4 linked regions of the Arabidopsis thaliana genome follow. The main gene of each other region encodes a partner of the protein of the gene in region 4 in a complex. Each region holds a gene or a part of one and is shown on either strand. Other genes may lie near its edges.

Region 1 (6,462 bases), on a different chromosome or scaffold from region 4:
TCTTCTCAATGAGTGTTTATAAAAGCTGTGGAAGCTTCTTGATACAAAGACTAAAAAGAATTTATAGAAAGAACACGAAGAAGATGAAGAGGAAGATCGTGACGGCAACTACTTACGAGGCTCTACACATTTGTTTTAGCTTCGGGTTGTTTTGTTTGAAAAATGACATAATTCATAATTGTGTATGTAATGAAAGGTAGACATGGTTGCACGTATTCACTATTCAGGATAGAAAATGGAGGGACCGATAATTAGAATCTCAATTTCTAGGCAGAGTGTCAATTTTCTTTTCTTATTCTTGGCATTGTAGAAAATGACCCGGAAGAAAAACCTTAAAGTTTAATGAAGGCGATGGTTGGTGTTTGGATTAGATTCCAGCTTTTGATAGGTTTAGCATCAACAATGTCTTGGTTCTTGTTCTTTAAGTCTAAGGTTTTTCTTTTACTATCAATCTTTGGTTCATTCCTGAAACTGTCTTCAAGAAATAACCGAAATTGAACTAGAATAAACAGAATCTTTGGTGTAGTTTGAACGCAAAACAACTTTTCCATTGAAAAAGGTCGAACAAGACATCATCAAATCATGGGGACATAATTATCCATGATTTTCTAAGACAGGACTTGCGCAAACTCTAAGCTTTCGTAAGAAAAATCTCTTTATATAATAATAAACTCACATTGAATCATCAGAATCTTCTGATTCACTTCTCTCCGGTTCAACTCCTGTTGGATTACTAGTGCCTGTCTCAGGAGCTTCAGGCTTTTCAACAGGTGTAGGTGAAGAAGAAGATACTTTCTTACTTGCATTACTAGCATTCTCGTTCGTAGCTGGTTCCTCTTGCTCATGTACCTACACCAAAAAAAGTTCAAATAAATGAAGTTACTAAATCCAAGGAGCAAATATAGACACATCATGTGTCGAAAATAGAAAGAAAAGCTTACATTTTCTACCGTTCCGCCACTCAATATATTCAACAAGTCTCTCTCAACCCGCTGTACAAGCTCCGGCTGCAACATTTTGGCAAATCAATATGTTAACTTAATAGAAAGAACTTTGGAGTTCCAAAAGATACGTTTCACTACAGACTTTCAATCATAATCACAAGTATTAGTGAAACAATGTTGATGGATAGATAACAACAAATGAAAATTACATTAAGGTCAGGCTCTCGACGAAATCTCCTCTTTCGAGCATCCTTCATTGGAGGAGTTAGACCATGTCTGTATTCAACTGTATTAGGCGCAGGATCACCAGGCTCCCTAACCATGATCATCTGTGTGCCAAATCAAAGCATCCATATTGAGTTTTAGTCCAAAATTACAGAAGTTAACGCATATAAGTAAAAGATGAATCAAGTAACTTGATTTTACCTGCCCAATATCAGCAGTTTTGACTAATGCACAATCATCATAAGTTTTAAAAGACTCAACAACTGCAGGGAGATCAAGCAGAGAAGCCGGGAACTCGTCGTTTCCAATCATAAACGTCCCGTTTCTCCCATCCTCTGCAAATTCAGTTCACACAAACATTACGTATCAAGTTTGCTCCAGAGACAATATGCAAATGGATTTCTAGACAAACTATAATGATGCAACAAGAATGTCTTTTGGCTTCTTTGACAAAACAGACAATTCACAACATTAAGCTGATCCAGGAGACACAAATCACAAGCTTTGATCCTTAATCAGATTCAAGAATGTCTTTTGGGCAAACCAACATTCAAGAACTCATCACGTGACACAAGGAGCAATCCCCGAAACGATCCAGACACTAATTTCATTGATTGACGACTAAAGGACATAAATTTAAGAAAAAGGATGAAACTTTAACCCAGATGTAATGTGCCAAAAAAGAGAGAAACCCTTTAAAAATTGGTACCTGAAAAAAACAAATCCAAAGGGATTTCGTCGGAAGTAGAAGCATCCTCGCTTAAAAGCCGATCAATTCGTTCTGAAACAGACGGTGGAACCCTAAGTATGAACTGTTCTTCCATTGTAGATACCAACAGCTTGACTTGAATTCTTCTTCTTAATCAATCCAGAAACGTGAATTCGCGAACGCAGATCGTATCGAATACGTATACTTCGGTCTGTTGATGTCGTAAGTCGAAAAGAGACGAGAATCTATTGAACTGAAACACGAATTCTTTGTTATGTTAGAGAGAGAGAGAGAGAGAGAGAGAGAGAGAGACATTATAAGATAAACCTTCTAGAAGTATCCTTTTAACAATTTATTATTTTATTTCCCTCCCTAAAGGTTTCAAGATTTATGTTTTGACCAAAATAATTATAAAAGGTACAAACAGAACCCAACAATTGGTGAAAAATCACCAATTTGCTATTTAATTCTATTGAATTTTACATTTTTAGTTCCTCTTAGATAATTGATCTCACTAAGTATAAATGTATAATGATAATAAAAAGGAAGATAATTTAATTACCAGAAATTGGAATGGAGCATCTATCAAATAGAAAACTTTAAGGGGATTTTAATACTTTAAAATAATTTTGAGGGGGTTAAATGTAAAACGTAAATAATATAAAGAAACCCTAATAAATAAGTCGTTCATTGATCAATCTTCTCCAATTCTTGCAGCATCACTTCTCCGTCGTTCCTCACCACCGAGATTCGTTCACCGGTAAGTCTTATCCCTGATATTTTGCTCTTCTTCCCAACCGTATATACCCGTATCTTCTTCTTTCTCTGTCGAATAAACTTGGCTTTTCCGACTTCGATTCCTTCAATTGTAAACAACTTCGTTGCCCGTACAACTTTTTGAGTCCGGTGAAAGATCCCGTGACGGAAAAAACTGTAGATCAGGCAATTATTATGTCTATACATCGATATAAAGGATTGAATCGTTCATCTTAAGTAAGTTTGACGAAAGTTGTGATCTTTTGTGCCTATTCACATATAACGTTTCTTAGCTCCTATCTTTTGAAATTGAGCTGATTCGATCTCTACCTGAATTGCATGTGATCTTATTTTGATATAATTTACTATTCAATTAGAAAATATGATCTTTCTAGATTGATTGCTTCTTTAAAGTTCTCTTAGACGCTGGTGTTATAGCTCTTGTGTTTGTGGTCTCTTCTCTCTTAAATATCCAACCTCTTTTGGTGTATTTTCTAATCTAGTTTGTGTTGACTGACTGATAGAGAGATTGAAGCTTGACTCAATGAGGGGAAGGAGCTACACTCCGTCACCACCTAGGGGTTATGGGAGGAGGGGTCGAAGCCCAAGCCCTAGAGGCCGATATGGAGGTCGTAGCAGGGACCTCCCGACCAGTCTTTTGGTTCGCAATCTACGCCATGATTGCAGGTACATACTTTTGACTTCTCTATTATTTTCTTCAGCCATTGTGGATGATGTTATTGTTTGCACACCTCTTAAGCAAGAAGACTTGACACCTCTTAGCATATTTTGGCATGATGTTCTCTTATCTTTACTGTAAAGGTTTTCAAAAAGTTGACGTCAATGTATCTTCATTTCTTGGCTTTTAGCAAATTGTAATTCTCTTCTTACTCCTTGTCCTTTTCTTCAGGCAAGAAGATCTCAGGAAGTCGTTTGAGCAGTTTGGTCCTGTCAAGGACATTTACCTGCCAAGGGATTATTATACCGGGTGAGCATGTTTTGTAAATAGGACAACCAACACTTGATTTTTACTTATGTTCTGATTAGAAAATATCCCTATTTTCACATCTTCTTTCTTGATTTGTTTACTACGTTTATCTGCCTTTCCTTTTTCTTTCGGTCATCTCTTTGTGTCTTCTCATGGATACTAGGGCCTTATGAGAATCTTCTTAAAAACTGATTTCATAAATTAAATTTAGGCTCCATATTTTTCAGATAGTAATTTTCTGTGACATGACAATAGACAGTGAGCATACTTGTGGTCTTAAACCACTAGTTTTCGGTGTCGTTAGGTGGATTAGTCGTTTAGAATTTAGTACCTGGTGAGACCTCATAGTTTTTAGTCGCTTAAGGAAAAGGATACATGATGATATGTTCCATGTCTGAACACACTATGAGTGAGTTAATTGAAGTTGTTGAGGTTTAGCAGTGAATCTAAAGAATTGAAGACATCAAAGAAGTAATTAGAGTTCTTATGAAGATGTTCTATATGGTAGTGAAGAATTGAAGTGAAGTTGAGTTTGTATTCTATGTGAAGATGAATCAAGTCTTCAAGAAGTCATCTTTGTACTGACACTTGCAAGGCTAGCAGGCAAGTGCTTGCTTTTTTCATGTTTACTGATATCTTCGGTTGCAGGGGATCATATCGCCAGTTGTCCTTCAACAGGATTGTTATAAAGTGGTACATCTTCCTCGCCATTTTGTATGTTTGGTTTCTAGTCTGAGATCTTTTTGTTCTACATTTTGAATGCAGAGATCCGCGAGGGTTTGGGTTCGTTCAATTTATGGACCCTGCTGATGCTGCTGATGCAAAACATCACATGGATGGTTATCTTCTTCTTGGCCGTGAGTTGACTGTCGTGTTTGCAGAAGAGAACAGAAAGAAACCGACTGAAATGAGAGCAAGGGAGCGTGGTGGAGGAAGGTGCATGAATCTTTCTCTTTTTGAACTATTTTGGTTATTGTCAAATATCAAAAACTCAATATTTAACATCTTTTTTTGGTTCGTTGGAGCAGCAGATTTCGGGATAGAAGACGTACTCCACCTCGTTACTACTCTCGCTCTCGTTCTCCTCCCCCTCGACGTGGTAGATCTCGGTCACGGAGCGGTGACTATTATTCTCCTCCCCCTAGAAGACATCACCCAAGGTTTCTATATGTTTCTGTCTAAGCTCAATTACAAACTTCTCCACGCTTGTATGCTCACTGTCTATTGTCACAGATCTATCTCGCCCAGGGAAGAGCGATATGATGGGAGGAGGTCATACTCGCGCTCACCTGCCTCTGATGGCTCAAGGGGTCGCAGTTTAACTCCAGTCAGAGGTAAGAGCCGCAGCTTAAGCCCCAGCCCTAGAAGAAGCATAAGCCGTAGCCCAAGAAGAAGCAGGAGCCCAAGCCCAAAAAGAAATAGGAGCGTTAGCCCAAGAAGAAGCATAAGCCGTAGCCCTAGAAGAAGCAGGAGTCCGAGGAGAAGCAGAAGAAGCTACACTCCTGAACCCGCCAGAAGCAGGAGCCAAAGCCCGCATGGGGGCCAGTATGACGAAGACCGTTCACCAAGCCAGTGATTGATTCGTCACTCTTTTGCTAGTCTTCTCTAGATTATGGTTGTGTCTTGTACCCTTATCCTAAGACGAAGTTAAGATGATACTGAAAAGCCGAGAACTTTATGTTTTGGGTTTTTATGTTTTGATCTATGGAACATGTGGGGAACATGGTACTGTTATTATAAGTTCTTTAAGATATAATCTGAGGTTATTATGATAGTTGCAACATTGGTCAACCACACAAGGAGCTCATGGAGGAAGCTTTTTGGATTACTTGCGAATATATCAGCTCTAGTTTTTGTTATCCGTCGTATCAACCAAAGCATTTTCAAGAGATCCATTAATCACATCAAAAGCCGCGTTTTGGATATGTTGCACTGGGCGGAAGACGGATGGCTTCGCCGTCGTTTTGAACATGTCATCGTTTTGGTAATACTAACGTTAATTGCTATTCTGAATAGAATTGGTTTCTTTGATGAATCAAGAACTCAGCAGAGCCAAAGAGTATGGTCCGATGTTAACTGAGGAGTTGGGTTTTCTTCATAAAGATGAGACCTTTTCTGTTTTAAAAGCAAAACAAATCGCCATTTGGAGCATTCTCGTCCACCGAATCTACCTACCAGTCTACCACCATTGACAAGCTTTAAACTTTAAACTATAAAAAAGGCAACAACTTGTATAGAGAGATAGAAAGAGATGTGGAAGAGCATAGGCGAATTGAGTTGCGATGATTATGTCAAAGCTGGGTTGACTTTGGAAGACGCCAAGGAATTTGACAAATTGGTGAGCGATGTGATTACAAAGGCTATAGAGACTGATCCAAGAGATCAATGGAAAGCTTTGGTAGATGAGAGTGTGCTTAAGCCATGGCATCCACATCCTCTGCATCAGCTTCTCTACTACTCTGTCTATTCAAACTGGGACTCCTCTGTTCATGGCCCTCCTCTCTATTGGTTTCCTTCTCTGTGCGTTTCATGAACTTGTTCGAAATTCTGATATTTATCTGTAAAATACAGCTGATTGTCTGTTCAATTTCTTCTTTGTGTGTGTTTAGATCTCAGTCAAAGTCCACCAATCTGGGGAAGCTGATGGAATATCACGGACCAAGACTTCTTGGTCCTTCATACAAGAACCCTCTTGAAAGTTTTGAACTTTTCCGGAGATTCTCAGTTGAACACCCTGAAGTAAGCATCAACGTTGAATGTTGTCGAGCAAAAGAATCTTTGTCGCAGCTCTGGTTTGGTCTAATGTAAACATCATTTTCAGGTTTATTGGTCATTTGTTA
Region 2 (9,232 bases), on a different chromosome or scaffold from region 4:
CCAAAATTTAGATACTGATTTCATCGCTGATGGACTAGATTTAGAAGAAGGGGAAATCGTCGAATGATGGTCATAGTCTTGTTCTGGCAAAAAGGAATTACTCTCTGTGAAACATTTTTGAGGATTATGTTCATGCCTGAAGCTCTCTTGTTCGAGCACATTAGCTATACTTGGTAATAGCCAAAGCTTTTACTGGAATGCAATAAGCCACAGCACTGATGGTCATAAGTTTTCGGTCTGGGCTTTGATCAACAGGTATTTCTTTTGTAGTAAACCAGATTACTAGGCTGTTCTGTGGTTTGTAGCAAACTTGATTGTTTACATACAAGATAGTTAACTTAAGAATGTCTCCGAAACTTTTGTTCAGTCTTATCCTCCTATAGATCCTCATAAATTAATCTTGTTGTCTTTCAGATCTTCTTTATAGTCAATGTAATACAGACCAAACCTTGTAGTTTGCCCAAAAGTTTTCTAGCAACGGACCAGAAGGATCAACAATAGATATAATCTATGAACGGATATTATATGTAAAGAGTAAATAAGCAAGAGAGCATACATGTAAACAACAATATCAAAAATTGCAATCTAGATCATACAGATTTGAAGAGAAATTATTTCATGGATTACATTTGAGAGTAAACAAATAAGTCCACTACGGAATCATTAAAATTCTCTTAATATATACATTGCAACCGGTTCAATTCAACTCAACCCACTCTGCAGGCTCCTAAGGACTTTGAAATCCCTCAAGCTTAAAAAGAAGAACTAAAGAGTTGACCTGAGAACAATGGCACGGATCTAAATGAGTTTATGTATGCCAACCAGACGGCGCTTTAATCTCTCCAAGCCTCCTTCTCTGCTTGAAAATCATCAAACATCTATTTCATTAGCATTAATGTATTGAGTATCATTATTCTTTTGATTTCACATATTTATTGCATTCACGACTGGAACCATGAGTTTTATATCGATGAGGTAAATATCAGGAAGTTGGGGAATAGAATAGCTCACCTCTTATTGGTTAGAGGAATACTGACATCTCTGTAGAAGGGATAAAGGGAAGAATCCTATCACCATAGAGTTCGTGCAGTTTCACCAATAGCCGTCCGGAATCAAGATCATCTTTCCATATCTGATCAAGGATTGCTTTCATGGTAATAGCCCGACTCCTGCCGCTTTCTTTCACCTTTCCATTTCTGCTTTCAGATTCGTTAGCATCAGAGGCTTGTTCTGATGAGGATGGCTGAACAGAGTTTTGTGGCGGATTGTCATTTTCCACTGGATTATCTACTTGCATTGGAGCTGAGCCAGATTGATCTTGTGAATGTACACCATCTGGCCCATCCATGGTTATCAATCTTTTCTGCGGTGATTGGTTTTCTGAAGAATCTACACTCAGCTTCCGCTTGTGGGGATCAGTACTGATTATCTTTCCCTTTCCCTTTCCCTTATGGAGAAAACTTGGTGACGGAGATGGTAAAGGTGGGAAGATTTTAAGCCGGCCATGTATACACAAGCCTGCAGCACGCTGAAAAGAAAAAGGGGGCAAGTCCATCTAAGGATTGTCCACTGAGAATTCTACAAAGATGAAATTTTACAAGGATGTGTTTACTAACCAGCAAGGCTCCATATACACGCCAAGCTTCGTAGATCTTCATCTGATTTTTTTGCTTCTCAGCATTCAATTCAGGTTCGAGAAGACTTAGATATGGTTCGAGATTTGATAGAATAAGAAGGCGTACCTACACAATATATGACATTCAGATGACAACAGATAACAATGCAGGATAGCTGTGCTAAAGTTTTTGGTAGCAGGGGTATCTGATTCACTGGAGTAGCCGTTTAAGACGATAAAAGTCCTAATTTCCCAATAAAATGAATAAGCAAACCCGGAAAAATGGTATGGGCAAATCAAATTGTATCTCAGATTCTGAAAAGTCCCTAGATTGAAGGACAAGCTGGGTAACATTATTTCTCGGTGATATCTGAAATAGCATGCACAAACTTTCTGAAAGGTCAAGGAATGACTTACAACAGTGTGCCCCAAAGCTGCTAATCCTTGAATCGCACCATAGTGCTGAGTCAAAGCCTTCTTTGGGTCCAGCAGTGCATTGACTAAAGTTCTGGTAAGACGAGACTGAAGAGTTATATAAACGGTTCCATACCTGCAAGATTTTATTAAAATCACAGGATTTCAGATGCTAAAAGAATATAAAGGTGAGATATGTAAAATAAAAGTGCGAGACAATGTACCCTTTTAAATAATGAAGAAGACTATAGCAAGTTATTACTAATTGTTGTTAATATAGATCTAACCATTTGTTTTTCAGCTCGAGCAAAAAAGAAGTAGATATCAATAGTAAAGAGATCAAACAAGATAAACTTAGCAGAACATCTATGGATAATCATCTCATGATATTTCCTTATAGAATTTCATTATTAGCTCCAGTAAGAAATCATGTATAGATCCCCACAATCAACCAAAACAAACACAGAGTTCATGACATGAAAGGGAAATAATGAACCTTTTACATATCAGTGAAACCAGATTTGCCGCAAAATCTCTGAGTTCCCAGTGGTTGTCAGCAAATCTATTTCCAAGCTTTCTTGATACAAGGCATGTTACAACAGATGGCATCAACTGGTGCAGCTGGCACCAAAAGAAAAAGTTCACTCAGCTTCATGGTTATGAAACATTGCTCAAACAACCAACTCATTATCCCAAGGCTGGTTTACATAATCTCAATACAGATCAAAGGCAAAACTTGTTGTTATTTCAAGCAGACTGAGAGTACTTAAGCACTCGAGCTTGCAGACCTCGGACAAACACTACCACTAACCATTTGATACCCATTATATAGAATATGTCTAATATAGAACTTGAAGAAACCCAAATCAGAAGCCTAAAGAAAATGGAGCTACATGATTCTACAATTTTTTAGATAGTGGCAAAAGATAATCCAGAGAAAACTTACATAAGGTTCTATGTGTATGTGAGGATTCTGTAGAAGACTTCTAACAATGTGCATTAGATTAAACAGGAGTCGGAAGTCATTTAAGCCATTTGAAACCTGCACAAGTGGAGAAAATTAAAACTGCAAAAACTTAACGTGGGTCTTATTGGTTCACACTAGTTCCTCGGTGGTGCATAATGTTACCTCATCAGCAATGAAATTTGTAAAATATGGAACTAGAGGATGAAGTCCTGAGTCTGAGGCCAAGCTCACTAATGCTTCTTTATACAGAGGAGGATTTGACTTGCTCATTGCAAGTTCAGCAATCTTTTGGAAGTATAACTGTGAAGAGAGAACAACAGATAAGTCCTATGTATGTAAGGATATTACCCTATGATATTTAGACTGCACCATATACCTGAAGTTCCCTAGATAGTACATGCTTCACTGGTAGCCTAACGTCAATAAGAGGTCCGTCTTTTTGTTCATGGATTTTGGTTTCTGCAGGTGCTCTAATGACTAGAGACAACACAAACAAGTGAAAAATATAGTCAAGATAGGAAAGAACAAGGATTTCTTGCTCATGCGGATCCGCAAAACAATAATACAGATGGATCTGAAAATATGTATTTTGATCTTTCAGTAACATCAGTAAGCTCACCACTTAACACGGGGTAACTGTAGAAAGAGGTTTATACACCTCTGAAACGTCATTGTACATACTAATATTTGTTTCATGTTGAAAAATTCATATAATGACTTTACAACTCTAGCCCAGGGCATAAGATTGAGAGACAAACCTTCTAAAGGAGCATTTTCTGGTATAGCTGGTTGCACTCCTTCAATAGCCAGCCAGTGACAAACAATTTCAGTATCAAGGGGAGCTTTTGGCAGCGGGGCTTCGATCACCTAGAATCATGACATTTCTTGAAAACATAAGGAACCCAAAATGAAGAATTTAACTGAAACAAAAAAAACATGCCAGCTTTTCCAACATCTTACATCTTTGAAATCCACTTCTCTGTCATCAGTGTAGAACAAATCGCGATGTCCAATAGCTTTTCTAAAACGAAATGGCCCTCCTGAGGCAAATCCATATATCGGCTGCAATAGATATAATCACTCTCAAAAAGATGCCTTTGATTCAGTTGACTACAATAGTGAAATATGTGAAAGCAATGTGTAACAGATGGTGTTATTCATATGCACCAGTAAAGCCAAACCTCAAAACTAGAAACCATATATCTTTGTCACTCAACTACAAAAACCAGGAAGCTTACACAACCAAAACTCTAGATAATGGGAAGTAAGAAATAGGTCATCGAGTTTGTACCTCAACGTTCCTTAAGTTGAGAGCACCATCTACATCCGAAGCTGTTAAAGTCGTTCTCTTTGAGTGACGCATGCATTTGATAGCTTCCTGAAAGGACATCCAAAGAGAAGGTACAGAAAGATCAATATGCTGATACCAGAAAACTCACCTCAAGAACACAAAGACATGATTAGAAAAAGAAGGTAACCTGCATGATCTCTCGGACACGATACTCAACATCAGGAGCAAGCATAAGAGCAGCTTCAGGTAACAAGTTGGTAATCCCAATACTTTGAGCTATTACCTCAACCGTTTCCTTAGGTACAATGCTCATCTTCCCCAGGCTGCTTATCCACTGTGGCGATACAAGGACACAGAAGAAACATCAACAGTGGTTATATTAAGTAAGAAAAAAGCACAAAAAATCATTGGAACCTCCCAATTAAACCATTGTTGGGCATACACAATGAATCGCAATTCAACAGCCCAGAAGACAAAGGCTGCTTCCATACTCCGTAAAAGTGTGAAATTTGTCCCGTTAACCAAAATTCGAGCACAAAAATAAGTTGGAAATTTACATGAACCGGAGAGGGATTTGCGTTGAGCGACGAAGATCCAGACACTTCACTTGAGAGGAAAGAAGCTCCGATTAACCGATGCCAAGCCTCTTGTTAATATAAGAAGCCGGGCCGGGTTTTTTAATTGCTGTCAAATTCACCCGGTTGGACTATTTCGGGTTAAATTAAATTTGGGCTGTCTCTATATCTATTTTGGGCCAAGGCCCAATAAGAGCGAAATATTTTATTTCTCTGCCAACTAAAGACAATTAATCCTACGAGAAAGGACGAAACAAATGTTTCAAGACAGTAGTTCTGTCTTCTGTGGTAGTTCTTTCTATTTTCTACACAAACAAAATTGATCCAAACACAAAAGGAAAAAGGAGCACAAAAGTCCAAATCAATGAAGACATCAACATACGTGAAAGCCTTAATCACACTCTTTCTTTACAAACATCAAGACCAAATATAATTAGGGGCAAACCAAATTGTTGGTGGATGCAATAACATATGTAGATTTTTCTTCTTTTTACATGAAAAAATAATTGCCAGTCCCAGTATCAGAATTTGGGACGAATACAAGCAATTTCTTTGTATATCAACCAAAATAATATTAGGATAGTCCTGAAACATCCCGTACCCAAGATATTCCACCTGGAAACGCTCTATGAACTCTGCTTCTTCCCGCTGCAGTGACTTTTGTTTTTTCCCCCATCACCATAATTTCTTTCGCCATAACCGGCTTGTGTATTACATTTGCATCCTCTTTGCCTTCCGTCAGAAACCGCAGACCCTGGAGTTTCCATAGTTTTATAGTTTTAGAAAGCCAAAGAAACATCATGACATGAAATCATCAAATAACAGCTACTACCACAAGTATTTTCAGGTTCCAATTTTTATTCGAATAAGCTTGATGAGAGATTGCCTTGAATATATGCAAATTCAAGATCAACCATCTCGTTGAATTTTTTCACTATAAGCAACTTTTTTGCGTCAACAGAATGGAAATGCACATTTATATGATGGAAAAAGGTATAGTAGCATTCTTACAGAGAGAGAAGTATTAGTGGATGGTTTTCCATCAATAGGTAATCTCTCACCAACATCCTAAACCACAAAGCCAGAAACAAGATTTTTTTCATTAAGGCCTATAACTACGTGAAAAATAAGTAAGAAAACGTTTCACTTAATTTGTAAGTTAACACTCACCTGAAATACTTTAGTACTTGTGCTGTCTTTAACGCCTGCAACTTGACATAGATGCCATAGTCCAGAGAGGGTCACATCCTAAAATTTTAACAAAAAAAATATCTGTTTGAGATCAATTAGTTTTAAGAAAATTGATAGCGTGAAGTGGTTTGTAGTATCTAATGGTTGTAGACAAATTACTTGTTTGCTTTCAAGACTTTCAATCTTCCCTTCCTGTAAAAATTTCATATAAGAGAGTAAAGATATATTAGCCCCTTTAAAATATGCATATTAGAGGGCAATGATGCATATTAGAGGGCAATGATGAGACTTACTATTCCAGAAATCATTTCATTAAGTTGCTTAAAATCAAACCCAATTTGCGAAATGCTTGATCTCATCTCAGTAACCTGAATTGAAGCAAGATTCCATGTGAGCATTAGCATTAAAATGAATATCAAAGAAAGGCATAGATGGAGTAAATCGCAGATATGAGAATCAAGCTGTAATTTGAAAGAAACAAAGGACTCTACTGTACATGTGAAGAAAAACAGTTCAGGGCCAAAGAGATAGGACGTTAATAAATAAATACTCTACAATCTTTTGGAATTCCTAAATGTGTTTTAAATTCTTCTAAGATGTTAAATGTACAAGAGGAGATCTCTCTCAGACGAATGTATAAGTATCCTAATCTTAAGTCTAAGGAAAAAATAAGGCATCAATACAAGAAAGTGAGAAATAAAACGGGTTCCTTACATCACTTAAGATCATTTTAGATGTCTCATTCTGCTCTTCCACCTTCCAATCCAAGGTCGCTAGCTTCTGAGAAAGATGTTTCCTTGTTGACTGCGTAAACAAATGCACTAGGTCAAAAAATCATAATGAAATAGAATATATAACAGAGGAAGGTCTCAAAAAAATTATTTGTTCACCGCTAATGTGTCTGACAAATCGTCTAGTTGTTTCGAAACAGAGGCAACCGCATCAGCCATATTTTTCTTTGTCACAAACATTGCATCTGAAAACGACCAGCCCTGCAATGTGGGTAAACCTTAGAAGTCAATGATATATAGTTTACCGGTAAACCACATGTTACAAAACTATAACAAAAGACACATGAAACATAGAGAAAAATAGACAGATTTTAAAGAGATAAACACCTTCCACCACATGTAGCAGTACCCCATAGCTCCAACGGCAGCCGCTGGAACCAGGTAAGATGCATAGCCTACAAGAGCAAAAGCAAAGATTATATCATTCTCTGTTTCTCATAAAAAATAAACATATTTGAAACATTTCCTACATTATCAAAAGTAGTACATAAATATTTTATGAGAAACTAAGACTTGTACATACCACTGGAGTTTGAATCTCCATTAAAGATGGTAACTGGATTGGTCATAGTTAGTTCTTTGATCTCGTTTGCAAGCTGTCGAATCTGGTTATCAAGAGACAACAAAAATTATGTCACTAAGAGGGGAGTCCAGTATTGGCCTAGTGATAAAGAGTGATGAATTATTTTCTATTCCGATTGTTTATGTTGGATCGATGAGAAAAATAAGCTTACAGAGCAAAAGAAAATGAAATACCTGAGCAGCAAGGAGTGCACCGTCATACTTAAAAGGAGTGCTTTCAACTCCTTGAGCACCATTGAGTAAGTCTTGAAGTTGGGCTATTAGGTCAGACAACCTCCCATGTCTCAATACGATCGAACCAGATACACCTTGGACATGATGAAAACAGAACCAAGTGTCATTAAAGGTCATTAAATGGAACATCCAAGCTAGAATAACTAAATCATTCTTGCTACATCCAAGCTGTATTACCATCAAAACTACACTAACGATTGAAGATTAGAAGTTCTGGACCATTTTAGCAAAGTGATCAATCAATTTGCCAAGATAAATTCAAACCCTAACTCTTCATAAAACAATTCCCTAGATTAGAGAGTCAAAGCAATACGAATCGAATTTGATTACAACAAGCAAAGATAATAAAACAAGCATCAAAGTGAGAAAGAGACCTGCGCCGAGTAGGATAAGGACCTTAGAGGTCTGAACACCGGCTTGCATCGCCATGAATTCCGGTTACAAGCTGAAAAAGATTCTCGATTAATTCTCTGTTCCGTGTCGCCAAGCCACCGCGAGAGACCAATTATGACACCCTTTTGCCCTTTAGACCTCAATTTTAGCTTTGATTTACCACAAAGATAAATACTTTTCAAAACTTATGTTCTTACCCCCGAAGCTTCCAATTTTAATCGAACTATTGTCCTTAGACACATATTAGAATATTTAACACCACTTGAGCTTATATACATATCAAACGTTAATATGTACAGTATATACAATTACATATGTATTTATACTTTTATTGCCCTATAGACCTCAGCTTTAGCTTTGATTGACCAGAAACATTAATATTTTAACAATTTATGTATTCACCCCAAACACTTCCTTTTGAATCAGATTACCCCAGAAGGCAATGCAAATCGAATGACTAAGGTTATTTTAGACATTTCTCAATAATCCAAACCATTACGCAACTTCACTGTATTAACCTGTTTTCTTCATCGAAGAAGATAGAGAGACCAAAACAAAAAAAGCTTTGAATATCCGCCATGGATGTTGGACGATGCTTTCTCTTTCTTCTATTACCAAGTTTCTTCTTCTTGCCTTCACAAACGCAGAGCACCGATTCATTCACATCGGTTCTCGTATCTCAAAACGGACTCGATTTCGTCAAAAATCTTCTAGTTAACAAAGCTATCGCGTCGATTATACCTCTCCAGATTCCCAGAATTGAGAAATCTATGAAAATCCCGTTCCTTGGAGGAATCGATGTTGTTGTCTCGAATCTCACGATATACGAGCTTGACGTTGCGTCATCTTATGTTAAGCTTGGTGAGACAGGTGTTGTCATCGTCGCTTCAGGGACGACTTGTAATTTGAGTATGAATTGGCATTATTCTTACAGTACTTGGCTTCCTCCTATTGAAATATCTGATCAGGGTATTGCATCTGTTCAGGTAATTATGATCAATTTTACTAATTCTTAGTTTTGATCATCTCAATCTTGTGAATCAATGGAAAGACAAGATTTTTCTTGCGAATCACAAATTTCTGTTCTGTTTTGTATCCTTATGTTTCGTGATTGTTATATGTCTTAGAACATAGTTGCATATGGGAATCAGAGGTGACTGTTGCTCTCTGTTTACCATT
Region 3 (6,265 bases), on a different chromosome or scaffold from region 4:
TTAATTTACAGTAACAAAATCTAAACGATTAAAGGTAAAAAAAGACAAATCAAACTCGATTCTAAAACATTTAAGGTAAGTAAATATATCAAAATATGGAAATTTAATTGAATGAAGAAAGATTTGAGGCTAAACCTGGAAGGGAAGAAAGATTCCTTGCCGATAACGAAACCGTTTCTAGGGTTTGTACTCCGGCCCGAGAAAATCGGCGGAGCTGGTGGTGGAGGTGGCATAGAAGGATTCATCGATCTTCTTTGCGGTTTGTTTGATTGTATCTTACCTTGACCTGAAGAAGACGAAGAATCATCGGCGGTGGTTGTGATGGTGGTGGTGGATCGGATCTCAGCTCTAGAGGCTCTCGATCGTTTTCGTTGTCCCCACTGTAACAGTACATCACCGCCGCGACGGCTAGGACTAGGATCTTGTTGTTGTTGCTGCTGTTGAGTGGATCTGAATCGGAATCCTTTGGGGACTCCGTCTAGAGATGAGGTGTTGTTGGTGGTGGTTGTGCATGATCCGCCGTTAAATCCTCTTCCGGCGATTGAGGTTGTGGTAATGACGGTGGTGGTGGTGGTGTCTTCGTTTGTTGCTCTTGATGGTGATGGTCGTAAGTAAGGCTTCTTACCTCCATTTGTGAGAGGAAGACAATCTGGGCTTACTCTCTGATACCTAATCAAAAACACAAAAATAATTAGATCAAAATCATGAAAACGAAAAGGAAGATTGAACTGTGAAAAATTGTAAAAATGTGTCTGTGTTTTATGCGAGATTTTAGAGTTAATCTTCTCAAAATTCTTCTGAGTTTTAATTGAAAATAACCCAAATCAGAATTTGACGGAGAAGCTCTGAGATTATTTTGTTTTTGTTCAAAAGGCGAAAAACAATTTGGTTATTGGATCAAATTGAGATTAGTTAAAAACTGGTGAATCCAAAGAAGACGAAATCTGGAGGAGATCAAAAGTTTTTGACATTAGAGTCAATCTCAAGTTTTTTTACAATCAAACTCAGATCCATAGAAACTAATTAGAAATCCAGAAAACAACAGAAAACCAAATCAGTGGAAAATAGAAAAACTCAGAGAAGATGGAAAAAACACAGAGAGAAGAAGAACGGAGAAGAAGAAGAAGAGAAACCTCATCATTATACCCAAGTGAAAACCAGATTCGAATTATGTAATGGTTACGTTTCCGATTCCGATCTGTGATAGTTTTTTTTTTGTATCAGGAATCTATGATTCGTTAAATTTCTTCTCCAGAACAAATTTCGATTCCGATTAAACGAGGATAAACGAAACACAGCTTCCTCGTGTGATTCTAAGTTTCTCGTACCGATCACCAGCGAATCAAAAGGATTATATTGAATAAAGAGAATGAAAAAAGAAGGGAAAAATATTTGTGTAGAGAGAAAAGAGAGAGGAGGAGAAGAGAAGAAACGGAGGCGCTCTGCGTTAAACAGTGAGGAGGATGAAGAAGAAGAAGAAGAAGAAGGAAGGCGGAAGGGAAGGAGAAAGATAGTGGGTGCGTTATTGTGTCAAAACTTCTTTTATTCTTTTTATTTTTCCAATCCAGTCCTTTTATTTTCTGTAGACTTTCAATTCGCAACCCACTTTGTTTTCTTCTCTTCACGTAATAGTTCGTTTCGAGATCGGCCCATTATCAGGCCCACTAGATCCTCTTTCGCCGGAACTTGTGTGATTCAAAACGTCTCCGTACCAATTTTGACAGTAGACCGAATTCTGATCGCGACGGTTTTCAATCACGCCGAAGAAATACACAATTTGAATTTGAACTTATAAACCCAGTTCTTGTAATGTTCGACCAAAAACGAATCAATACTAAAACCAATTTTTAGGTATAGCCAAATTTAACCAAATAAACCGGATTACAAATGATTTTATTTGATTTCGAATTCTATAAAACCGGAAATGAAACCGAATCCAACCTAGTAAACCGGATTGCCACTTTTAGGCCATGTGGTCTGTAGTCAAAGATTGATCTTGTATTGAAAATGAAAACTGGAAACGTAAACCAAATAAAAACCAAACCGTAAGACTGATAGCCATTTCAGGGTCTGTATCCAAAGATTGATTTACTACAAAAGTTGTCACACAAAGTTAAGAACATCAAAGAACAATATGATCCACCAGGGAAGCCAAAGAAGTTCTCCTTTATGATGAGATTGATAGGCAAATCTCGCCAGCTTAAACCTGCCGTAGACCCTTATCCTTGAGCAGCATTGGTAAATTCCCCAGTCTTAGGCTGATATAAGTTCTCTTTTGGCTCTTGTTGACTAGCGGAAAAGGCGTGGAACTGATCTTTTAGGCACTTTTCCTTCGAGCTTTAGTCTCCGATAAGACTCCCTGATATGACAAGGTCTGATAGGTCCTGATTCTTTCCTTTCCGCCATAACAACTCGAGCTACAGATAATGTATTGAGGTTCAGTAAATGAGCTTTGTTGGCACATAAACAAAATCATTGGAAATTTTTGCACTGGCTTACCTGTTTCAACGAGTTCACCAACGAACATCTTTGCAATACCACACGCAACAATAATCATTGGCATACCAATCTTCTGACTACCAGTGACACCTATCAATAACTGCATTAACATAAAAGCTAAATGGTTCATATTTGCAATGAAACAAAATTAAGAATGTTGATAACCACAAATCATATAACATATATACCTTCTTCATCTGTGGTCTTTGAAGTGCAGATCTCCTAAAAGATTCATATCTACTCATCTGATCCTCAGTGAATTGCGATAATATGGTTCTGAAGAATTCAACAAACAATCAATCATCAAAGAAACATGAAGAACAATCAAAATTCTACAAAGACTCACTGCATTTTGGCCATTTTAGCAGGATCAGAACTAGTTGGATATTTAGTAAGCTCAACATCCATATTCTCTTCCTCTTCTTCATCATCTTCATCTTTATCTTTGTTCTTAGCTTCAGTAACAACAACAGAGGTTTTAGCTTTCTTCATCGGACGGCGAACATCCACAGGTCTCTCATCTTCATCTTGAGTCTGGTCGATTTCAATTCGTCCGTCTTCACTACCATCACCTCCTCCTCCTCCGCCAACGGGTGATTCCGGTGGCGATTCCTCTTGCTCTTCCTCAATCGCTGCTTCAAACGGATCCTTTGAATGCTTCATTCCTGATTAAAACCTAAACGAAAAAATCACATAATTGAGATCTCAAATTAGGGTTTAGAACGAAGCAAATTGCTACGGATCATTGACGAACCTTGAAGGTGAAACTCAGATCGAATTTCAAGAGACACGAATCTCTAGACCGTTGTTAACAACAACTGGGAGCTCCACAATCTTCCAGGCGGAGAGGAAAATTCATCGACTGTGTTCAATTTCAAGCTTTTCTATAGGAGTGTAGCGACTGTTATAAGTCGGTTTAGTCCAATCAATTGGTGGATCAAAAGAAAAGATCTGAACCGGTTTTTGTTAAACCAACCCAAAAAGTTTCGAGAACCACATCATTGGATTTGGGCTGGGCTCAGTTCAAAACCACTGAATAACTAACTGGTTTTTTTTTTTGGAATACAATGTTGGGATAACGATTTACAACTAGCCAAATGTTATAAATCGAGCTAGACAACAAAATTAAAAATATCAATGATAGTGAATTGGATACTAAAAAGTAAAAACACTCAAATGCTAACTATTTCTATAGATATTGGATAATCATATGTTAAATCAAATGCTTGAGTGATTTCAACATTTTTCTTTGGTCATCATGATTTTTATAATTCCAAATGAATCAAAGAACAGTTATCTATTTTTTCAAATCTTTCACATAATTCATAATTTTCTAGCAAATGTTATTTAGTTTTGCTTGATACTTTATGATAGGAAGATATAATGCTAACCCTTTTTTTCCTCCTCAATTTCAATATAAACTCATATCACCACCAAACCATCATTACAAATTCTAAAAACAAAACTCTATGAAACACATAAAACAGAAAAATATATATTTAGTCTCTTATATATATAACATCACTGCATTTAGAAAGTATTAGGCTGTTTAGCCTGAGAGATCATCTGGACAACCTCTCTCATGGTCGGTCTCTCAACACTATGTTCTTGCACACATAGCATTGCCACAAAGAACAGTTCCATGGCCTCTGCTAATGGAATATTGCTCAATCTCTGGTCAATGATCTTCACCACACCTTGTCTGTTACAGTTTGTTTGGATCTTTGACCATTGCACAATGTCTATCCCTTCTTCCCCAAAATTATCTACTGGTTTTCGACCCGTAATCAGCTCCAATAACACTACTCCGAAGCTGTACACATCGCTCTTCTCGTCTATTCTCAGTGTATATGCATATTCTGCATTCAAGAAACGGATAAAATGGGCTAAGATCAATCATACGTTTTAACTAGAAGTACTGAAATCCTAAGTTTGAATGTTACGTGTGATACAAGAAAGTAGTATTAGGAATCAGTCATGTACCTGGAGCGATGTAGCCGTACGAGCCAGCGATCGAGGACATGCACTCGGAAGCTCCATTGTCTTGCATCATAAACTTAGCAAGCCCAAAATCAGCAACATGAGCTTCAAACTCAGGACCCAACAAGATGTTGTTTGACTTCACATCACGGTGGATTATAAGTGGCGAGCAATCATGGTGAAGATAACACAACCCCTTAGCCGCTTCCAACGCTATTTGCAACCGTGTTTCCCATTTCAAAAACACTCCAGCTTTCCCGTGCAAGACTTCTCCGAGGCTACCATTAGGCATATACTCGTAAACAAGGAGATTCACGTCTTTGTTTGAACAAAAAGCGAGCAATCTCACTATGTTTCTGTGTCTGATTCTACCTAATGTCTGAATCTCTGCGGCTAAACCGTTGTCATGAGATGATCCTTTGGTTATGGTTAAGAGCTTCTTGACTGCAACTTCTTCTCCGTTTGGCATTACCCCTTTGTAGACAATCCCTCGTCCGCCTTTCCCAATCACATGGTTCTCTTTAACACATTCTAATATGTGTTCGCTTCTGAAACCGAGCTTCTGAAACCCTATAAGCTTCCATAAATTCGGGTTGTTCTTTCTCATTCTCCTATTCTTGACCACAGCTAAAACGACGAACACCAAGAAAAACCCTAGTAGGCCTAACCCGAAGAACAACTTGAATTTTGCGGAGATTTCACCTCGGGATCTTGCGTTGTTCTGGTTAAGTAGCTGAGATTGAGATTGGTTTTGGGAACCGTTGCAAGGGTTTGAAGAAAATCCACAGAGAAAAGGGTTTCCAAGGAATGACGTGTTGTTGAAGTAAGAGAATTGCCCTGAAGTTGGTACTGAACCGGAGAAGTTGTTGTGTGAGAAATCTGCTGATGTTAAACTCTTCATGTATCCGAGTTCGTTGGGAAGGCTTTGGTTAAAGGAATTCCAAGAAACATTCAGATAGTTTAGAATCCGAATCTGCGATATCTGAACCGGAATCTGACCGGAAATCTGGTTGTGACTCAAATCTAAATATGTGAGTGACATGCAATCACCAAACTCAGGAGGAAACTTGCCTGAGAAGTTGTTTCTGCTCATGTCAATCTTGAGAAGACTCTTCAAACTTCCGATTTCGCCAGGGATCTGTCCCGATAACCGGTTTGCACCGAGAAGAAGAATCTGAAGGCTTCTGAGGTTTCTGATTGAACCAGGAATCGGTCCGGATAACCTGTTGTTGGACAGATTGATCTGAGTAAGGCTCGAAAACTGCGCATTTCCCGCCTCTTCTTCGGGGATTTCTCCAGTCAAAAAGTTGTTTTGAAGCTCAAGAAGCGAAAGATTCGGCAAATAAATCAAACCCTTTGGCAACTTACTTGTCAGAAAGTTCTGTCCGAGACGGAATCTCCATAGCGGTTCACATTGGCCAAGATCTTCAGGGAGAGGACCGAACAAGAAGTTGTTGAAGAGAATGAGAATCTTTAGTCTTCTTCCGAAACAGAGTGACTCAGGGATCAAACCTGTGAGTTTATTGGTAGACAAATCGATCTCGATCAAGTTCCCGTTTGATCCGAGTTTCGAAGGAATCTTTCCGGTGAAATTGTTGTGCCAAAGCTTGAGTATTTGCAGATCAGGAAGCTCAGATACGAACTCAGGGATCTCGCCGTGTAGTCTGTTGAAGAAGAGGTTAAACAACTGAAGCTTTTGAAGTCCAGATAGCTCTAGAGGAATCTCTCCTTCAAGAAAGTTGTTGGAGAGATCAAGAGTCTTGAGGCTTGTCATGTTCCCTAACTC
Region 4 (8,649 bases):
TCCAATGGACGAAGGTTTCTGCAATCTTATATCCATTTTGTGTTTTAGGGCAGCTCCCGTGCTCCCCACGCAAGCAATCGGCACCAAAACGCTAACTGCAGCAATGTACTTATGCTTTCTTGGTGCTTTAAAGATTTCTGCAACGTCTGTTTTGGCAGCCGTGAGGAAGAAGAAGTAAAAGAATCCCATCAGTCCTATGTTTGCGCATATGTAATTCGCAATCGGTGGAAACAGATAGTAATTGAAGTTTCGGTTTCTTCCTAACATGGACGGTCCTATCATCATCCCACCCTTCAAAACACAAAACCATGCATTTTGTCTTAAATAATATAATTAGCTCCATCAATGGAAATTTATTAACTATGTAAAAGAAAATATAAGATCGAATACGAACAATGATCTCGCAGACTATACGAGGTTGGCGAAGAGGTCGAAGGAGGACGTAAACAATTTTGATGAAGAAAATGATGAGTATTGCTTCGATCAAAAAGGTTGAAAATGTGTAGTTCATGCCATTTTCGCCTTTGAACATTCCGAACGGCTGCTTATCGTGAACCTGTCGGCAAACCTCCGGAAGTCTGGCTGAGAAAACACGACTGCTGACCACTCCGGCGGTGGTTGGATTCTCTGGCCAGAACCCAAAACGGGTAGGCAGGGCACTCCAGCCATCACTTGGGAAAGACCTAACCATGCATGCAGATTATTCTCTCAGATATTTGACATAAAACAAACGACAATGATCATCCATAGAGAGACAGAGAGAAGGCGATAGATCCATGATTGATGTGTGTTTTTTCCAACAGATGTGGTCGTGCGTCATTTTGGGAACAATTGTAGTTGTAGTTTTCGCTTACTCTTCATATTTTCTTTATTTTTATTTTCTCATTATGAGTTTTTTATGTGAAAAATGTATATGTTTTGTGGTACTTCATCTTCATGATCTACATTTTTCACTCCGTAAACATAGCCGCTTTCTTCTTGAAAACGCATATTTTCATCAGAGTTAAAGAATTCATCAAAAATGTAACGTACGATATGTTTTGTTACACACCTTATGAGAACCATTTTTTTTTCTCTAACAGAAAGTTTATACTCTTTGACTAAAATTAGAGTTGTTGTCAAATAAGATTTAAAAATATATATATAATCTATATATGTATGTTTATACTTTGATTGAAAGGAATGTAAGATGTTTAAATGAGAAACTAAAACAGAAATGTAGGAATGTTACCACCGATCGATATTCTTAGCTTTATTTTCATACTACTGTTTTTACTTTTTACAGTTTCTTTTAAGAATCACATGTGAGGTCAAGGATGAGAATTATAATCTCACTTCATTCCTTAAATTTTGCTGTACTCCTTTCTGCAATAAATGTAGTGCTCTCCATTATATATAGGATGAGTTTTTGTTTAGTTGATGAAAAAAAAAAGATGGATGAATTTAGAAGCAATAACATAAGGGACCGCCGGGACGTGCAAGGTACGGCCGTGGTAGCTGGCTAACACAAACTCCCATGCATATCTCTTTATATATTTTACACAAGATCTATATTTCTTGAAGATTAGTTTTAAAAAGAATTCTTACATATTAAACTACATTTCATACATGTCTTTTTAGTCGTTTTTATTTTCATTTTACACTCACCATCTTCCACTTTAAAACACTTCTCTAAAGTTTTAAACCAATGATAATTTTATTTTATTTTTTATAGTGTGAGATAATGTATTCTATTAATTATACATTTATAATTTGTAGTTCACAATTCATTTACCGTAATCAATGTAGAATACATAGAAATAACAATAAAATCAATATATATGAAACAAAAGCAAAAACAAGAAAACCGTTTGTGATGAAATGGATGTCATGAAATTTTGTTGTTGTTGTGGACATAAATATTGATTTTATTGATATGATAACATTACAAGATTCTGAAATAGTCACTACGTACTAATAATAAATTTGGAAATAAAGGAGAAGTGGAGATCCCACCTACGCCAAATATTGAATGCATCACCGCTTTTTGCGTTCTTCCACATACTGGATTATTTCATTTTATCCTTTTTATTTTCATACATTCTCACTTATCGATCTCATTAAATATTTCCTTCGTTTCCTTTTAATCTCAAGGACTTGTCTAACCGGTGACTAGCTTGTGGCCGTGCTGAGTTTGCATCGTCGAACAAAACTCATAAAATCCTATCTGACGCAGTCGCACAACAGTTTATAATTAGACGTAATTCGTTGACAAATTGCCCTATAGATATATACAGTATACATTAACTAAATCTATCCTCTATCACCTCCCTATTTCTTAGTAAACAATAAAAGAAAGAAATAAAGTTATTGTGGGTATGGGAATGCATTAAAAGTGCCGAATATGCATAAAAAATTGGTACACCTTCCAAAATATGTAATATGGGGACACTTAGCTTAGAGTTGAGACTATAAATACAGCAATATGATCCAAGGTCAAGCTCCTCTATATATATATATACGTACTTAACATTACAATACATATAACATACATGATACATTATAACACATATGTAAAGGAAGATGCATACCTATGGATGTAAATTTCAGATTGAGTAGTAGAGAAATAGCTATAAAGCTCAGGAGGGATAGCGCCATGGCTCACCAGTGCTGTATGTTTTGTATATGCGTACATGTATATCTGTTGGCGCTATCCATCCTGAGTTCCATAGCTTCTTCTTGCTTATATGTGATTCCTACTTCATTCCCTCCTTCGTTTAGCTTCTTGTATACAAGATATGGTAATGGGTAAGTTTATTATTTGCATGTAAATATTTTACCTTTTTTTATATAGAATTGTTGAAGTTCAAATCATATAGAAAATTGTGTCGAAAGTGAGAAAAATCGCAGGTATTGTCAATTTGAGGTTAAGAACACATTAAGTATTAAATAGTGTGGTCTTACAAGTTACAACTTACAAATATCTGGATTTCACACATCTAAGCAGTTTGTTAGAATTACATTGTTACTGCCTTACTTTTTTTTTTTTTTTTTTTTTTTGTAAATTTATGCTTAAGACTACTGGTGGACTTTTATTAAGAATATGTATATTATCCAATATGTGTGTGAAAGGGATGGTAAATAAGTAATATCGCCGTGTGCTAGAGCCAGCCAGCGATTGAGCTGTGAATATGCAATGTTAGAAGATGGATTCTCTTTGTCGAATTGAGAATGGGAATCTTGAAACTAATGTTACAGGATTCCAAATTTCCTGGATTCTTTCTCTCGTCCATATTTTCTACACAACAAGTCATTAATAAACTTTCTCTTGGGATTTTCGGCATTAGTCTTTTTTGTTCCTATAATTTCAACATAAACTTTCGTTACATGTAACACATTAAAGAGTTGGCCAATCCGGCACTTGACCAAAAGGTCATGACATATACACATAGAGAACTTTACGAGACACCCTTCTCTTTAGTCCTTGGGATCCAGATTGAACGATTAACTATTTATTAACAACGTCTTTTATCCAAAAAAAGGCCACTCATTTGTAAAACCCTAATCCTAATCATAGCCCCAGTGAGTGAAGTTGGCAATAAAATCATCAAGTTGATCTTTGAAAGGTCACTGCATACTTCAGATCAACTGATCAGACACAAGTGCCTAGCCATCCCCCACTCCTGCCAATTCTCGAGGAACACATGTTGCTATAAAAGAAGTTTGCGAGAAAAAACGATAACAACTCCGAAAATTGTAAAGAGAAGTGTGGTTGCCTAAATGAATGCATTACACAATACAACATGAAAACATACGACTGTTTTGTTTGTGTTGAACAGAGTCAAAAAAAGAAGGAAGAGAAGCAAAAAAGGGACTTCTGGTGTTGAAAGAAGTAATCAAGATGAATGCACTCACCTGAAATCATCATAGCACCAATTTGCAATGCATTTTGCAGTTAAATATCAGCTTCCTTCAATAAAACAAAAAACAAACATTTCACATCGTGAAAAACAAACTAAAAATAAACCGGAGATGCATGAATAATAGATCCCCAAAGAAACAGAACAAGTAGGGAGAAAAAAGGGGTAATTTTGCTCAAGGTCAAAGTGAACAAAAACCTACCTCTTTTTTTGTATCTCCAATATGAGGATTCATAGAACATTTTACTAAAATTCCCTCCTTAACACACACAAAACTCTTAGAACACATAACAGCTGATTCATTCATTCCTCTCTTTCTCTCAATATGGACGAGACCGGTTTCCCCCATGGTGGTTTCTGTCTGGCCCTGAACTGTAGTTGTCTCTTCTTCTGTCTCCCCCACCACCACCATAGCCACCACCTCCTCCTCCTCTACCCCCACCTCTGCGACATTCACAAGTTTGCAAGGACAACATTATTAGATCAGACACAGACATCTCTAATTAAAACCAGCTTACTACGTAAGATGAAGTGACTCAACACACAACAAAGACGAGTCTTATAGAGCATGGAAAACCAGATAAAGATACAACTTATATGGGGAATTACTAGGAGCTTATAAGAAGCATGAACAAACAACAGATCTCTTCACAACCAAGAGCAGCCACAGCTATAGGTTACAAGATAACTACATAGATTTATTTCCTATGGCATGAACATAGACCTAAGGCATAATTTGATGACATACGAACTCCCAACCCTTTCTGTCATACCCAGATGAGTGTACAAAGCAAATCCCCAGTAGGATACAAGATCCAAACAGTCTTCAGAGACAAGGAACATAAACTTAGCATTGCAAAAACTCATATTCCCTACTAAAATTATAAAGCTAAAAGCCTAAAACAACTAGAGTACAAACACCTATAAGATGGAGCAGGTGGTAACAGCTAAATGGTAACAAAAAAGAATGCTGATAAATGATCAGGACAGCTACCTCTGGTCAAAGGTAGGAGCACGGGGCGCAGACTTTTCTGCCATCGTTACACTAATCTTGTTCCCCCTCATTTCGTAATCTACAAAACAATCCACCACCATTCACGAAACAGAACTTTTAAACAATTTTAAGCTAGACAGCAATTCCATAGTACATACTGTTGAAAAAGCCGCCTGCAGAGTGTGCAGCGCTGGGATCTTCATAAGCCAGACAGGCGTCACCTTTATAGTTACCCTTCTCATCAGTGTAAATCTTAATATTATAGGGCCACTGATCTTTGTAACCACGCTTCTGCTTAATTCTTCCAACCTAAAATAGATCCAACCAGACACACTTTATCAGCACACCAATAAACATGTACACAAACAAGAACTTAATAACTTATAGCAAGGGAAAGGCTTATTCCAAGATATAAAACACAACAGAAGTAAAAGACCAGTGTTATTACTTGGCCAATGCCACCAAAGAGATCCTTGAGTTCATCAGTTGTCACATCCGGAGGTAAATTAGAGATGTATATTCTAGCATTATCACAATTATCATCACAATCAGCATCGCACTGCTTGACTTTTTCAGTAGCTGCATCTTCATAACTAGCTTCCTGCCGTCGAGGAGCACTACCACCATCATAGCCGCCACTCCTACCACCACGACCACCAGTGCTCGGTGCATCACTGCCATAACCCCCTCGTGGACCACCATATGACGGCGGGCCACCAGAATAGCTTGTAGGCGGGGGAACAGCTTCCATTCCATAACCCGTGGGTGGAGGATAACTTCCAGAACCATCGTAGGATGGAATAGCTGCAGCAGGAGGAGGAGCCTGACCATACGAACCATTTTCCCTCTGACTACCACTACCATAGCTACCACCACTCCTACTTCCACCATCATATCTACTACTCTCATAGCTCCTACCACTATCGTTTCTACCACCACGACCACCCCCACGATCACTGTCACCTCCACCTCGGCTATATCCACCACCTCCACGATCATTAGCACCAGAACTAGTACCAGAAGGAGCAAGTGCACCACACTTGTTACATTCAACTCTCCTTGCAAAGTTCACGTTCCCACAACTATACAAACAGTTTCGAGGGTAAACAATTTCAAAACATGCTCCCACAAAGGAATTCAACAGCTAATTCAATTCATTACATATGCAGAAAGAATGGAATCCCAAATAATTTGCAATCATTACCTGGGGTTGGGACAACGCCAATCTCCATCTCTGCCTCCGCCGCCACTTCCTCTTCCACCGCGATCACCTCCTTGATATCCACCACCTCCACCGCCTAAATCAAAACGAATCATCGAAATAGTGAGAAACTAAAGATTTAACAAAAGTAGCTCAGCAAGGAATGGAGAAATCTAAAGAATCATAAGGTTATATCAATCAGATCTGCAACAATCTAAATCACAAACCTCGATTTCCTCTACCACCGCCTCCACCGTAACCACCGCGTCCGCCGTAACTACCTCCGCCAGAGGCACCGCGTCCACCATATCCAGCATCACCACCTCCATAACCTCCCCCTCCGCCGTATCCATCACCACCGTACGACGGAATAGGCGCACCTCCGCCGCCGTCTTGATTGTACATCCCAGCCATGACCTAGGGTTTGCGATAAACAACAGACCAAAACTCTTAACGAATCGTGTGAGAGCCTTTTTAGACGTAGAATAAAAAATCTCGCGTTTTATTTATATTTCTCTCAAAAATAGTGGAACTTTATTATTGCATTTATCTTAAATCTTAAATTCTTTTACATCTTATCTTTTACCGACCGGTTTCCCAAAATAACTGGACTTGCTTTTTTTATCAAATAAGACAACATGGTTCTAAGGCCCATAATCATCTAACCTTTACGAAGGCCCAGCCCAATAACAGTTATTTTTTACGTAGCCCAATACAGTTTTGAAATGTGGCTATTAGAGAGAAATTAGAGGCAAAATCCACCAAAATTTTGCTATAACTACAACTTTAAAAGAGTCCGGACAGTAGGAACAATAAGAGGAGAGGCCAGCTCTGAAAGAAATTTGGAGTTTGCGAAGATGAATGAGAAGTGTCAAGTTGAATCGAGAACCGGCAATTATCCTCAGAAGGATCAACAGTAGTGATCAAACCAAGTCCACCAAAGTTGCAGCTTTCTGCACTGTGATCATTTTGCTGGTACAAGCTATTGAACGCGTATGAAACGTTGCCTGGCCATCTGATGCCTGAACACGACCCGCCAGGAAGTATCGATGTACAGTCCGCAACAGCACACGCTTCTAATGCTCTTGCTGACGCGTTTGACAAGTCCTTGTTATTGTTCACCACACACCACTTAGGAGGAAGGTACTGAACATTCTGCGCGTTTACCTGATTCTTATGGTTGAAACTGAAATTGTATTTGGCTTGACCGTCGAAAGTGAACACTCCCCAGTGCCTCTCAAAGTTCCCAGCAGATAAGTTTCTCTGATCTTCGTCCAAGAGACTTTCAATGTAGGTTTCAACAGGAGGACGCGGGAGAGAGGCCGTCTTTTTCTCCAAGTGAACTATCAGTCCTTTAAAGAACGCCTCAGCAGTCAGTGATGTTGCATTTTCTGCTCCATCTGTAGGCCAACCGATCTTTGACACAACGATATCCACCTCCGAAAACCCAATTGTGAACAATGCAGAGACAAGTGTGTCATAGCTTAGATCAAAGCTGTTTCTGTAGGTTTTACGTCCGTCTTTGTGAGCCTTTGCTGTTTCTTTAAAGAGGCTAAAGTCAAGGGAGATGTTCTTGTTCTGGTGAAAGCTTAGGAAAGGAGAGATTGTCACAAAAAAAGGAGAGTGGTGCTTTGTGAGAAAGGAGAGGAGTTCAATCATCGTCTTGTTGAGGTCAGCCCTAAAGTGTCCTGAAGAAGGTCGACCAGATTCAGAAAGAAAGGAATCAAAGCTTGAGGGGACTACAACCTTCACTTCATTTGCCAAGTTCGCCTTAACTAAAGCATTTTGGATATTCATAGCTGCCCCAATCACAAAAGGCTTATACTGATTGCCATAGCTCTGGAGAAATGGCTCTTCTCCAACTGCTACATACCTGAAAATCAATTCTTTTCTTTAATGATAATTTCACAATAAGAAGATTGGCAATTTGGCATTGAAACAAATCCGACTCATTCACATTCCATAAGTTAAATTCCAGCTTAAAAATCTTAAATCTATATATATATAACTGGATAAGCAGAAGAGAAGGAGAAAGAAGATACTCGATTCGAACTCTGTTTCCACCGTTGAAGTAACGAGTGACATTGTCATGTACCCAGCTCTCTGCTACCTTTACGGATGCATTCAAGCTCTTGAGCATCGAATTTTGGATTCCGATAGTGACACCAATATTAGAACCAGAGAGAGCTCGGAGAACTTTTGGGTCGGCATCGAAGAGCTTCACTTTGACAATGCCGTTTGATTTCAGAAGCTCTACAACCTTTGAAGGCGGAAGAGGGTGCGACGCTTCTGTCCCCCAATTTATGCCAACTGCTCTGACGGTTGTTCCCGTCAAGCTCAACCCTGCCGTGACGGCGAGGAGGAGGAGAAACAGCCGACGAGCCATCAAATCCAGTGAATCTCGTACTTCCACGATAATGTCGGGCCGAGAAATTCAATGTTTAAAAAAACAAAACACTGCGTGCCGTTTCACGACTCAGCATCTCACTGTTATTTAGCTATCAAAACGACACGGTGTTTAGAAATTGGGCTTGGGCTTCACATTCCCTAATCAT

Evidence for each region.
Region 1: TAF15b (region 4) and TAF7 share a complex: the UniProt entries of both Arabidopsis thaliana proteins name them as parts of the TFIID complex.
Region 2: TAF15b (region 4) and TAFII59 share a complex: the UniProt entries of both Arabidopsis thaliana proteins name them as parts of the TFIID complex.
Region 3: TAF15b (region 4) and TAF11 share a complex: the UniProt entries of both Arabidopsis thaliana proteins name them as parts of the TFIID complex.

Annotation. Positions count from the first base shown.
Region 1 is NC_003070.9:20,627,498-20,633,959, forward strand, and holds TAF7 (TBP-associated factor 7), read right to left. Parts: upstream 2,196-6,462; 5' UTR 1,994-2,195; coding exon 1,879-1,993; intron 1,505-1,878; coding exon 1,371-1,504; intron 1,274-1,370; coding exon 1,154-1,273; intron 1,008-1,153; coding exon 657-1,007; 3' UTR 526-656; downstream 1-525. Other genes in the region: SCL33 (SC35-like splicing factor 33), read left to right, coding at 3,179-3,321, 3,545-3,622, 4,190-4,225, 4,388-4,558, 4,654-4,782, 4,856-5,198; AAE18 (acyl-activating enzyme 18), read left to right, coding at 5,874-6,142, 6,232-6,361, 6,444-6,462. UniProt on the Arabidopsis thaliana protein: TAFs are components of the transcription factor IID (TFIID) complex that is essential for mediating regulation of RNA polymerase transcription.
Region 2 is NC_003070.9:1,402,585-1,411,816, forward strand, and holds TAFII59 (TATA BOX ASSOCIATED FACTOR II 59), read right to left. Parts: upstream 4,948-9,232; 5' UTR 4,845-4,947; exon of another isoform or gene 4,622-4,844; 5' UTR 4,601-4,621; coding exon 4,475-4,600; intron 4,375-4,474; coding exon 4,288-4,374; intron 4,059-4,287; coding exon 3,957-4,058; intron 3,864-3,956; coding exon 3,755-3,863; intron 3,474-3,754; coding exon 3,373-3,473; intron 3,297-3,372; coding exon 3,159-3,296; intron 3,072-3,158; coding exon 2,976-3,071; intron 2,651-2,975; coding exon 2,526-2,650; intron 2,166-2,525; coding exon 2,033-2,165; intron 1,743-2,032; coding exon 1,617-1,742; intron 1,529-1,616; coding exon 1,022-1,528; 3' UTR 1,012-1,021; intron 857-1,011; 3' UTR 501-856; downstream 1-500. Other genes in the region: AT1G04945 (HIT-type Zinc finger family protein), read left to right, coding at 1-67; AT1G04960 (golgin family A protein (DUF1664)), read right to left, coding at 5,437-5,616, 5,874-5,930, 6,033-6,110, 6,213-6,245, 6,347-6,421, 6,768-6,857, 6,944-7,045, 7,172-7,239 and 2 more; AT1G04970 (lipid-binding serum glycoprotein family protein), read left to right, coding at 8,632-9,039. UniProt on the Arabidopsis thaliana protein: TAFs are components of the transcription factor IID (TFIID) complex that is essential for mediating regulation of RNA polymerase transcription. Required for proper pollen function. May stabilize the interaction of TFIID with selected promoters.
Region 3 is NC_003075.7:10,950,689-10,956,953, reverse strand, and holds TAF11 (TBP-associated factor 11), read right to left. Parts: upstream 3,415-6,265; 5' UTR 3,254-3,414; intron 3,176-3,253; 5' UTR 3,163-3,175; coding exon 2,846-3,162; intron 2,776-2,845; coding exon 2,688-2,775; intron 2,600-2,687; coding exon 2,500-2,599; intron 2,418-2,499; coding exon 2,290-2,417; 3' UTR 1,878-2,289; downstream 1-1,877. Other genes in the region: AT4G20300 (Serine/Threonine-kinase, putative (DUF1639)), read right to left, coding at 136-669, 1,134-1,141; AT4G20290 (uncharacterized protein), read left to right, coding at 1,370-1,795; BAM3 (Leucine-rich receptor-like protein kinase family protein), read right to left, coding at 4,030-4,358, 4,483-6,265. UniProt on the Arabidopsis thaliana protein: TAFs are components of the transcription factor IID (TFIID) complex that is essential for mediating regulation of RNA polymerase transcription.
Region 4 is NC_003076.8:23,634,347-23,642,995, forward strand, and holds TAF15b (TBP-associated factor 15B), read right to left. Parts: upstream 6,628-8,649; 5' UTR 6,509-6,627; coding exon 6,322-6,508; intron 6,192-6,321; coding exon 6,098-6,191; intron 5,976-6,097; coding exon 5,342-5,975; intron 5,203-5,341; coding exon 5,052-5,202; intron 4,973-5,051; coding exon 4,894-4,972; intron 4,344-4,893; coding exon 4,220-4,343; 3' UTR 4,102-4,219; exon of another isoform or gene 3,950-4,101; 3' UTR 3,069-3,949; downstream 1-3,068. Other genes in the region: CHX25 (cation/H+ exchanger 25), read right to left, coding at 1-291, 395-691; AT5G58480 (O-Glycosyl hydrolases family 17 protein), read right to left, coding at 6,881-7,967, 8,137-8,480. UniProt on the Arabidopsis thaliana protein: TAFs are components of the transcription factor IID (TFIID) complex that is essential for mediating regulation of RNA polymerase transcription.